2 linked regions of the Macaca fascicularis genome follow. The protein of the gene in region 2 purifies or fractionates together with the protein of the main gene of each other region. This does not show direct contact. Links are inferred from orthologs where the notes say so. Each region holds a gene or a part of one and is shown on either strand. Other genes may lie near its edges.

The links. Proteins that work in one complex are often made in the same cells at the same time.
Region 1: the proteins of SLAMF6 (region 2) and SH2D1A purify together in Homo sapiens (co-immunoprecipitation; 5 studies listed by BioGRID and IntAct, with this or other methods). This does not show direct contact. The link is inferred for Macaca fascicularis from reciprocal best matches to the Homo sapiens genes SLAMF6 and SH2D1A.

The regions. Positions count from the first base shown.
Region 1 is NC_088395.1:130,579,588-130,583,682, reverse strand, and holds the start of SH2D1A (SH2 domain-containing protein 1A), read right to left. Parts: upstream 2,801-4,095; 5' UTR 2,721-2,800; coding exon 2,584-2,720; intron 1-2,583.
Region 2 is NC_088375.1:100,560,427-100,565,198, reverse strand, and holds part of SLAMF6 (SLAM family member 6), read right to left. Parts: intron 1,334-4,772; coding exon 1,001-1,333; intron 1-1,000. UniProt on the Homo sapiens protein: Self-ligand receptor of the signaling lymphocytic activation molecule (SLAM) family.

The sequences.
Region 1 (4,095 bases), on a different chromosome or scaffold from region 2:
CCAAAAAGAGGGAATGAATTTTTTACATTTGTCAAAAGGGACACTCAACTCAAAAACGTTGAGAAACTGATAAAAGGCAATGTATCCTTATATCTTTCCTCTGCAGTACATTCTGGCTATCACCCAAACAGTCTCATAAGACTTTGAGTCCCCAGTGTACCATTTGAAAGACACCGTAAGGGAACTCCCAATTTGTCTAGTATTTTCCGCTACTTCACAAGGCAGTTTTCATGGAGAACTGAGAGTCATAAAAAAAGCATTTATGCAAGATTCACTTTGGGCAAAAACTTAAATGCTTGAGAATTTCTCACCTGCCTAAGTTAATTCCTCATGTGGTTCTGGCCCACATAGGAAAAAGGCTAAAGTTGTCCTTCTCTCTTGTATATGGTACTTAAGGCAATCTTTTGCAGAAGGTAGGATACACATTACTATTCCTGTTTTATAAATATGGAAACTGAGGCCCAGAGAATTTGAGTGACTTTCCCAGGGTCCACACCCTAACCTCTCGATGTTCATTCCTTTTCTTGCAGTAAAGAATAGAATTTGCCTTAACAGTTTGTTAATTCAAAAATATCTGCTGAGTGCCTATTATGTGTTCCTGTGTTCCTGGTGATGGAGACAATGTCTCCGCCCTCATGGAGATTATATTTTTGCAGGACAGCCCAGCAATAAGTAGGTAAACAGGCAAATTATCAAATAGTTTAAAGCTCTTTGAACAAAAATAAAGAGATGGAGTGAGTGTATCAGGGACAGAGAGAGGGCACTTGTTCTAGATAGGTGGCCAAGCAAGTCCTCTCTGAGGGAGGAGGCAGTTGAACAAACATGTGAACTGAAGGTATTTTTGGCAGAAGGAACAATAAGCACAGAAATCCTAAGTGGGGGCATTTTTGAGGAGCTTGAGAAACGGCCAGGAGCCTGGTGAGGCTGAAGTCTTAGGTGTATCTTGCCTCTCACTATACCCTGTTGTCCCTCCCCTGCCCAGACTTGTTTTGTATGTTCTTTTTCACCTTTGGGTTAAGGAGCACATTATCTCCTTTGTCAGTTTCCCTAAAGCAGCGCCTTTCACCCACCCACTCACTCCACCTTCTCTCAATGAGAAAAGAGCCTAAGAATCCTAGCTGATTTTCATTGCCCTTCCCTAGATTCCACACGGGAACATAATTATATAAGCAAAACATAAAGATTCAAGCCCAAGACATTCAATAACTTCCACGTATTTCCCTGGAAGCCTTTATGAAAAATGTATTTAGCATGACCTGAGAGCTGCCACAAACAAGGCTTGACCATTTTTGAAAACCAATATACAGTGAAAATCCTCTAGCACCAGCATCAGGATAATCTTTCTTCACTGACCCATAAGGTATTTCAAACTCTTGTGGGGTATCATCAGATGCTGAACTTACTACCAAGCATTTAACCTCATTTGGTTTCTGTCTAGAACCTACTATGCAGGGCTGCTGTTTTCATGGATTTTTTTTATCCTGCTGACAATAATGCTTGAGCTAGGTCCTTCCTTAGAAATGCCCCCATGATTCCTAAAAGAAATCAACTGAAAAGAGAAGATAAAATAACAATATATTTTTGGTATAATGACAATACCAATAGCTTACATTTATTGAACATTTACTAGGTGTCAGGCCCCAGTGCTAATTTTTTTACTGCATTATAGCACTTAATCTTACAATCCTATGAGGTAGGCAGTAATATGATACCTATTCAATGGATAAGAAAACTGGGGGACTGAGAGGTTAATTTGCCCAGGTCACAAGCCTAACATCTGACTAGCACAGGACAAAGTCTCAGATCTGCCTGACTCCGCAGCCCTGGAGCAAAGACGCAGATGAATTTGATTCAAAATGAAGCCTTAGACTGAGACATGCCTAGGCAAATGGCAAAGCTGAATCATAACAAGGGTGTTTTCCCTCCATTCCCTTTAAGACTATTGTGAGTCCTAACGTTTATCAAGAAGGGTCCTATTTCTGAAATCCCCTGCCCCTCCCCACCCCCCACTACTTTTCTAAAGGATGCTACATCAGCAGATCCAGAGAGGTGATTTTACTCATACACATCCCCCTCCTCTCTCAGCATCTCGACTTTACTGGCATTGCATTCTTAAAGTAATTGACTCTGTTTCTTAATGTGTCTCCTCTCCCTGAATGTCATGCCCTTCCTTTGGGATGACACTTCAAAAGTCGTTTAAAGAGAGCTAGAGTAAGGCTCCCAGGGCACCACCCGATAGGGTTCAAAATAGAAGTGGGGAGCCTGGGTCTTTCCTGGAGCGAAGGTAAACTCTAGACCACATTTCAGCACCCGAAAGGGCATTCTCTGCGGCTGCCCCAAAAGGCTCTGGTGAGGGCCTTCTGGAGAGCAGGTGGCCCAGGGAATGAAATCCCCAGCGAGGGACTCAGGCGAAAGTGTGTTTCACCACGGCCCTGGGCTGGACTTGAGGGCGGACCATGGAGGCGTCGTCGGCGAGCTGCTAATGCCGGCGCCCCTGCCTGCCTCGGCCTCCACCCTGGCCCCAGCTGCCGCTGCCCACCGCCCACACCCTCAGCAGGCCCATGCCCACTGTATCATACTCACAGCACACACAGGCAGTACACTCCTGGCACGCTCTCGCTGTCCCTCAGCAAATAGCTGCCATCCAGCCCAGTGGCAAGCAGGAGCTTCTCGCCTGTTTCCCTGCTGATTTTGCCATGATACACAGCCACTGCGTCCATGGCCTGGTGGACTCTTGGGCAGGCCGAGGAGGAGAAGTGTACAAGGGAGATGCCACTGCTACTGCAGCCAGGCACAAGTCAACCACCTGACTCCCAGTTCAGCCAGATGTGCAAAAAAGAGAGAAGCACCCAAACAACAGGATGTTGTCTACTTGCCTTAAACCTCCTTCTCACACTTCAACTAAAACGAGCTCAGCAATTTAGTAGCTTAGTTCAATCGAGCTTGCCAAGGGCTTCCATCTCCTGCCCCCCAACACAGGGTTCATACAGAGCGGGAAGGAACATTGGAAGAAGGATTTTGCAAGATTGGGGCTGTACTGCCAACACACACCCTTGCACTCAGACAGGGATGCTTAGTAATGCTTCTGTTCTTGCAGTTTACTCAGAGGCCACCAGGAATAACTTAGCTCAACTAGCCGGTAAGGAGTTGATGATAGAGGCAAGTTGTACATGTCTCTGTCGGTATGTGGACCCATCATGTAGGGCAAAAACATACTAACAAAATGAAAGGATCAAAAGCTCTGAGAACAAAACACTGATGGTTTTATCAGTACTGTCAGTATGAAATCATTACTGAACATGGCCATGAAGACTCCCACAGAATCGGACATAGTAGATGAACAGTGAACTTTGGGCAAGTTCTTCTTCTCCCTCTTCCTTCTACCTCACGCAGTCATCTTGAAAGTCTTGGTCCTGAGTAAATATTGATTTCTTTCCTAACACCTTGTCCAAGGTCCCAAAGTGCTAGTTGAGATACAAAAGTCACAATGTACATCCAAAGATTTTCCAGATTTATCTATTTGATGGGCTTTACATGAGACTGTGAATCATTTAACTGGTGCTTTGCCTTTATATGCATTTGTATGTGCCCTTTGGTGTATAGGGCCCAACTTTCAGCATTTTGGCCATAAAATCTGTTTTGAATCATTTGCAAGTTGTTGATAATATTATTGTAACTTTTATTCTCTGTTGTTTCTAGAAAATGTTATTTCTTCAATTGATGCTAAACTGTCTTTAATATTTTAAAACCTTTCAATCTGCATTTTCTTCTCTGAAATAAAGCATTGCTTCTATTTCAAAATGTGCTAGGTAATATTTCCCCAAAACTTCCTGCATTTTCACTAGAGTAAGACTTTATTTATTGCTGAAGCTGAATGGTCTTATACATGTACCTTTAGATTATGTAAAGTACTTTTAAAATTGGAACTTAAATAGCTGAAGCTATGTCGTCTATTATATGCTTTCTGCAACTTCAGTGTGTAGTTCTTGGAGAATATGGCAAGCCTGGAAGCTCAATAGGGAGAACGACACTTAATTCCTCACGTGGCTTACCAATGGATTGGATGTACAGAGCTGACCTGCACCAAAGGCAGAT
Region 2 (4,772 bases):
TGATAAACCTGCCAAATATTCAGGGGATACTAAAAGTTAACTTGTAATCTGTCTGTGGAGACATTTTATTTTAACAGTGCTTTTTTGAGTACCATGTCTTAACCCAAAGAACTCTGAGTGAATTTTAGACACTACAGGCCCTCAAGTGGATAAGAATTATAGAATTTCAGTGGTCTTTCATGTTTTCTGGTCTGATTGCCAATTTAATGCTTGAATCTCCTGCTAAGTCATTATTCTAAAGCCATTAATGGCATCTCTGAATATCACTGGTTGCTAGAGAGGTATTTTTCTGATATTGACTCATAAGCAACCTCATTATAGTTTCCATAATTTTATGTTGATAACGTTTTCATTCTTTTTAATCTTGGGAAGGCAGATTGTTGACTGGTGATTAATATGAGCCATTGGGGGAAAATATTGTTAAAAATTAAATAAACTTGACAGAAAGGATGCTTCTCATTATCAGCCTATCTTTGCAGAGAACTTTCTAGGTAGACCACTATTCTATACACAGATCACTCTACTGGGTCAGACTAGCCTTTGTGAAAAGGGAGGTGTTGTGGCAGGTAGTTATGTGGGAAGTGCTGCCATTACTATCTCTGTGACTTGTACGCAAATCACTGTGACTGAGGCTGTGCCTCAAGGGTATAAGATCTGTACCTACCTCATGGAGGCTTTGTGAGAATTACATGGCAAATACATGTAATGCACAAGGCAACACTATCATAAATATTTGATTTCCATTACTTCTGCTACATTTCCGGTTGAAGAAGACCATTTTACTGGAGTGAAGTAATTCTGAGCTGGGACACAAGACAGGCTCTGTCCTCAGCTCTGTCATTAACTGGCTTTGCAATGTCATTGTGTTGACACTGACTCAATGACTCCAAATGCCATATTCTTTACCACTAGGTGACAGTGCACATTTGAAATCACATAGGATTGAAATACATGTATATTTTTCAGTCCATATGGAATTAAACCCCATATTTTGACTCACTGAATATCCTCAGAGTGTAACTGGACAGCTTTACAGAGGTCTCTGTGGTTATCTGGGCACTGTAAGAGCCTGTGTCTTCCATCTCCAGGTTGCTGAGTTTCAGGGAGTAGGACTGGGTGAAGTTCAGTCGCTTTCGCTGTTTAGGATGAGTCACGCGGATATTTGGACTTTTGGTTTCAGAGGGTTCTATGAAGGCAAGAGATGTTCCATTGCAAAGCCAAGTGATGGACGCGATCATCTCTCCAGCAGAAAGCTCCAGGGGAAGAATTACCGACTCTCCCAGAACCCCATTCACCATCAGTGGGGTTGAGCTGCTTTGTGAAACTAGATTCCCTGTAAACACAGAAGGAAAAGGTTTTACAAATGTTCCTGACAATCTCCCTGCCAAGTCCTGCACCCTTTCACCTAACTCTGCCAGTCTGTTAGAGCTCTCTGATACCAAAACTCAGAGATATGACAGAGTAAGAAAGCATAAGGAGATGGTTCTAAACGAATAATCACAGTCCCAGAGCTTCACCTCTAGCAAAATGTCAGCCACTCTTGGTTAGTAGGCAGCTAGTCTATATGAAACTGGCTCAGTCCACGCTGGGTTCTACACTGGCTGGTCACTCCTAGGTCATAACTATACTTTGTGACCCCAGCCTCTGAATTCCTCTGACATTAGGTTGAGGGGGACAGGAAACTATAGACTCCAAAAACTGCAAGTCTTTGCTAATAAAGTATAATTAAAGCCTGATATTTACTGATTGCCTACTGTGTGTCCATCTTAGTAGGCTTGTGCAATTTAGAAGGCTGGTAATAGGGACTAATATCAGGGATTTATAGGATAGTCAGTTCTTCTTATACATTATTTCATTGATGCTGACTACAATCTGTGAGGCAGGCAGGATGGATATTATTACTTCCATTTATAGATAAAGGAACTGAGCCACAGAAAGGTTAACTAATTTTCCCAGGGTTGCACAGCTAAAGAATAGCAGAGTCAGGATTCAAACCCAGGTCTTCTGACTCCAGTGACTTTGTATTCTTTTCATTATACCAGAAGATATTTCTTTATTCTCTCAGAAAGATTAGGAGGAGACAAAATTGATACACATAGAAATAATATATATAATTTCATAGTAACACATGATGGCCACATTCTTGTGAGCTTATTCAGAACTATCAATGTTTAAGCAAAAAAGGTGAAATAGTCACAATGATTCTTAAAGAAGATGCTTCCTTAGCATCCTTTCCCAAATTCTTAGCAATTCTCACACTATTTTGTAATCTTGTTCACCTGTTTGTCTAACTGACCATGCCTTAATCATCCTTGCATGTCAGTACTCAGCACCATGTCTGACACGTAGTAGAGTCTGTGGAAATGTTCTAGAGGGTCAATGAATAAATAACCATAATCATTACCTAACCTTCTCAGGATCTCTTCCTTCTTTTTCTTAAAAATTTCAACTTTTATTTTAGATATGAGGGTACATGTGCAGGTTTGTTACATGGGTATATCGCACCCAGATAGTGGGCATATTAACTAATAGGTAGTTATTCAACCCATACCCATTCCCTTCCTTCCACCTCTAGTAGTCCACAGTGTCTATTAATCCCATATTTATGTCCATGTGTGCTCAGTGTTTGGTTCCCACTTATAAGTGAGAGCATGTCATATTTGGTTTTCTGTTTCTGTGTTAGTTTTCTAGGATTATGGCCTCCAGCTCCACCCATGTTGCTGCAAAAGACATGATTTTATTCATTTTTATGGCTGGTTAGTATTTCATGGTGTATACGTACCACATTTTCTTTATCCAATCCATCATTGATGGGAACCTAGGTTGATCCTTGTCTTTGCTTTTATGAATAGCATAGTGATGAACATACAGGTGCATATGTCTTTTTGGTATAATCATCTATTTTCCTTTGGCATAATCATCTATTTTCCTTTGGCTATATACCCAGTAATGGGGTTGCTGGGTTGAATGGTAGCTCTGTTTTAAGTTCTTTGAGAAATCTCCAAACTGCTTTCCACAGTGAAAATTTACATTTCCCGCTAACTGTATAACTGTTTGCTTTTCTCTGTAACCTCACCGTGGGACCTAGCACCTATTTTTTTTTATTTTTTGACTTTTAATAATAGCCATTCTGACAGAATAGTAAGGGTCCAGTTTCAATCTTCTGTATATGGCTATACAAAAATATAAAAAAGTAGATTAGTGTATTCTGAGTTTTCTATTCTCTTCCAGCTGTCATTCTGACAGAATGGCTATTATTAAAAAGTCAAAAAAGTGTATTCGTCCATTTTCACACTGCTGATAAAGACATACCCAAGACTAGTAATTTATAAAGGAAAGATGTTTTATTGACTCACAGTTCCACATGGCTGGGGAGGCCATGGCACTCACAATCATGGCGAAAGGTGAAGGAGGCACAAAGTCACTTTTTTTTTTTTTTTGAGATGGAGTCTCGCTCTGTCACCCAGGCTGGAATGCAGTGGTGCAATCTCAGTTCACTGCAAGCTCCGCCTCCTGGGCTCATGTCATTCTCCTGCCTCAGCCTCCCGAGTAGCTGGGACTACAGGTGCCCGCCACCACACCCGCCTAATTTTTTGTATTTTTAGTAGAGATGGGGTTTCACTGTGGTCTCGATCTCCTGACCTTATGATCCACCTGTCTCAGTCTCCCAAAGTGCTGGGATTACAGATGTAAGCCACCGTGCCCAGCCAAAGTCACATCTTACATGGTGGCAGGCAAAGAGAATGTGTGCAGGGGAACTCCCCTTTATAAAACCACCAGATCTCATGAGATTTATTCACTATCATGAGAATAACACAGGAAAGACCTACCCCCATGATTCGATTACCTCCTATCGGGTCCCTCCCATGACATGTGGGAATTATGGGAGCTCTACAGTTCAAGATGAGATTTGGGTGGGGACACAATCAAACCATATCATAAACCAAACCAGCATCTATTTTTTTTTTTTGACTTTTATTAATAGCCATTCTGACTGGTGTGAGATGGTATTTCATTGTGGTTTTGATTTGGATTTCTCTGATGATTACTGATGTTGAGCATTTTTTCATGTTTGTTGACTACTTGTATGTCTTCTTTTAGGAAGTGTCTGTTCATGTCCTTTGCCCATTTTTTAATGGGGTTTTTGCTTATTGGTTTAAGCTCCTTATAGATTCTGGATATTAAACCTTTGTTGGATACATAGTTTGCAAATATTTTCTCTCATTCCGTAAGATGTCTGTTTACTATAATGATAGTTTCTTTTGCTGTGCAGAAGCTCTGTAGTTTACTTAGGTTCCACTTGTCAATTTTTGTTTTTGTTGCAATTGCTTTTGGGGACTTAGCCAAAAATTATTTGCCAAGGCCAATGTCAAGAAGGATATTTCCTATTTTTTTCTAGGATTTTTATAGCTTGAGGTTTTACATTTAAATATTTGATCCATCTTGAGTTAATTTTTGTATATGGTTAAAGGTAAGGGTCCAGTGTCAATCTTCTGCATATGGCTAGCCAGTTATCCCAGCACCATTTATTGAATAGGGAGTCCTCTCCCCATTGCTTGTTTTTGTAGGCCTTGTCAAAAATCAGATGGTTGTAAGTGTGTGGCTTTATTTCTGAGTTTTCTGTTCTCTTCCAGTTGTCTATGTGTCTGTTTGTGTACTGGTACCATGCTGTTTTGGTTACTATAGTCTTATGGTATGGTTCAAAGTCAGATAGTGTGATGTCTCTGGCTTTGTTGTTTTTGCTTAGAATTGCTTCAACTATTTGGGCTCTT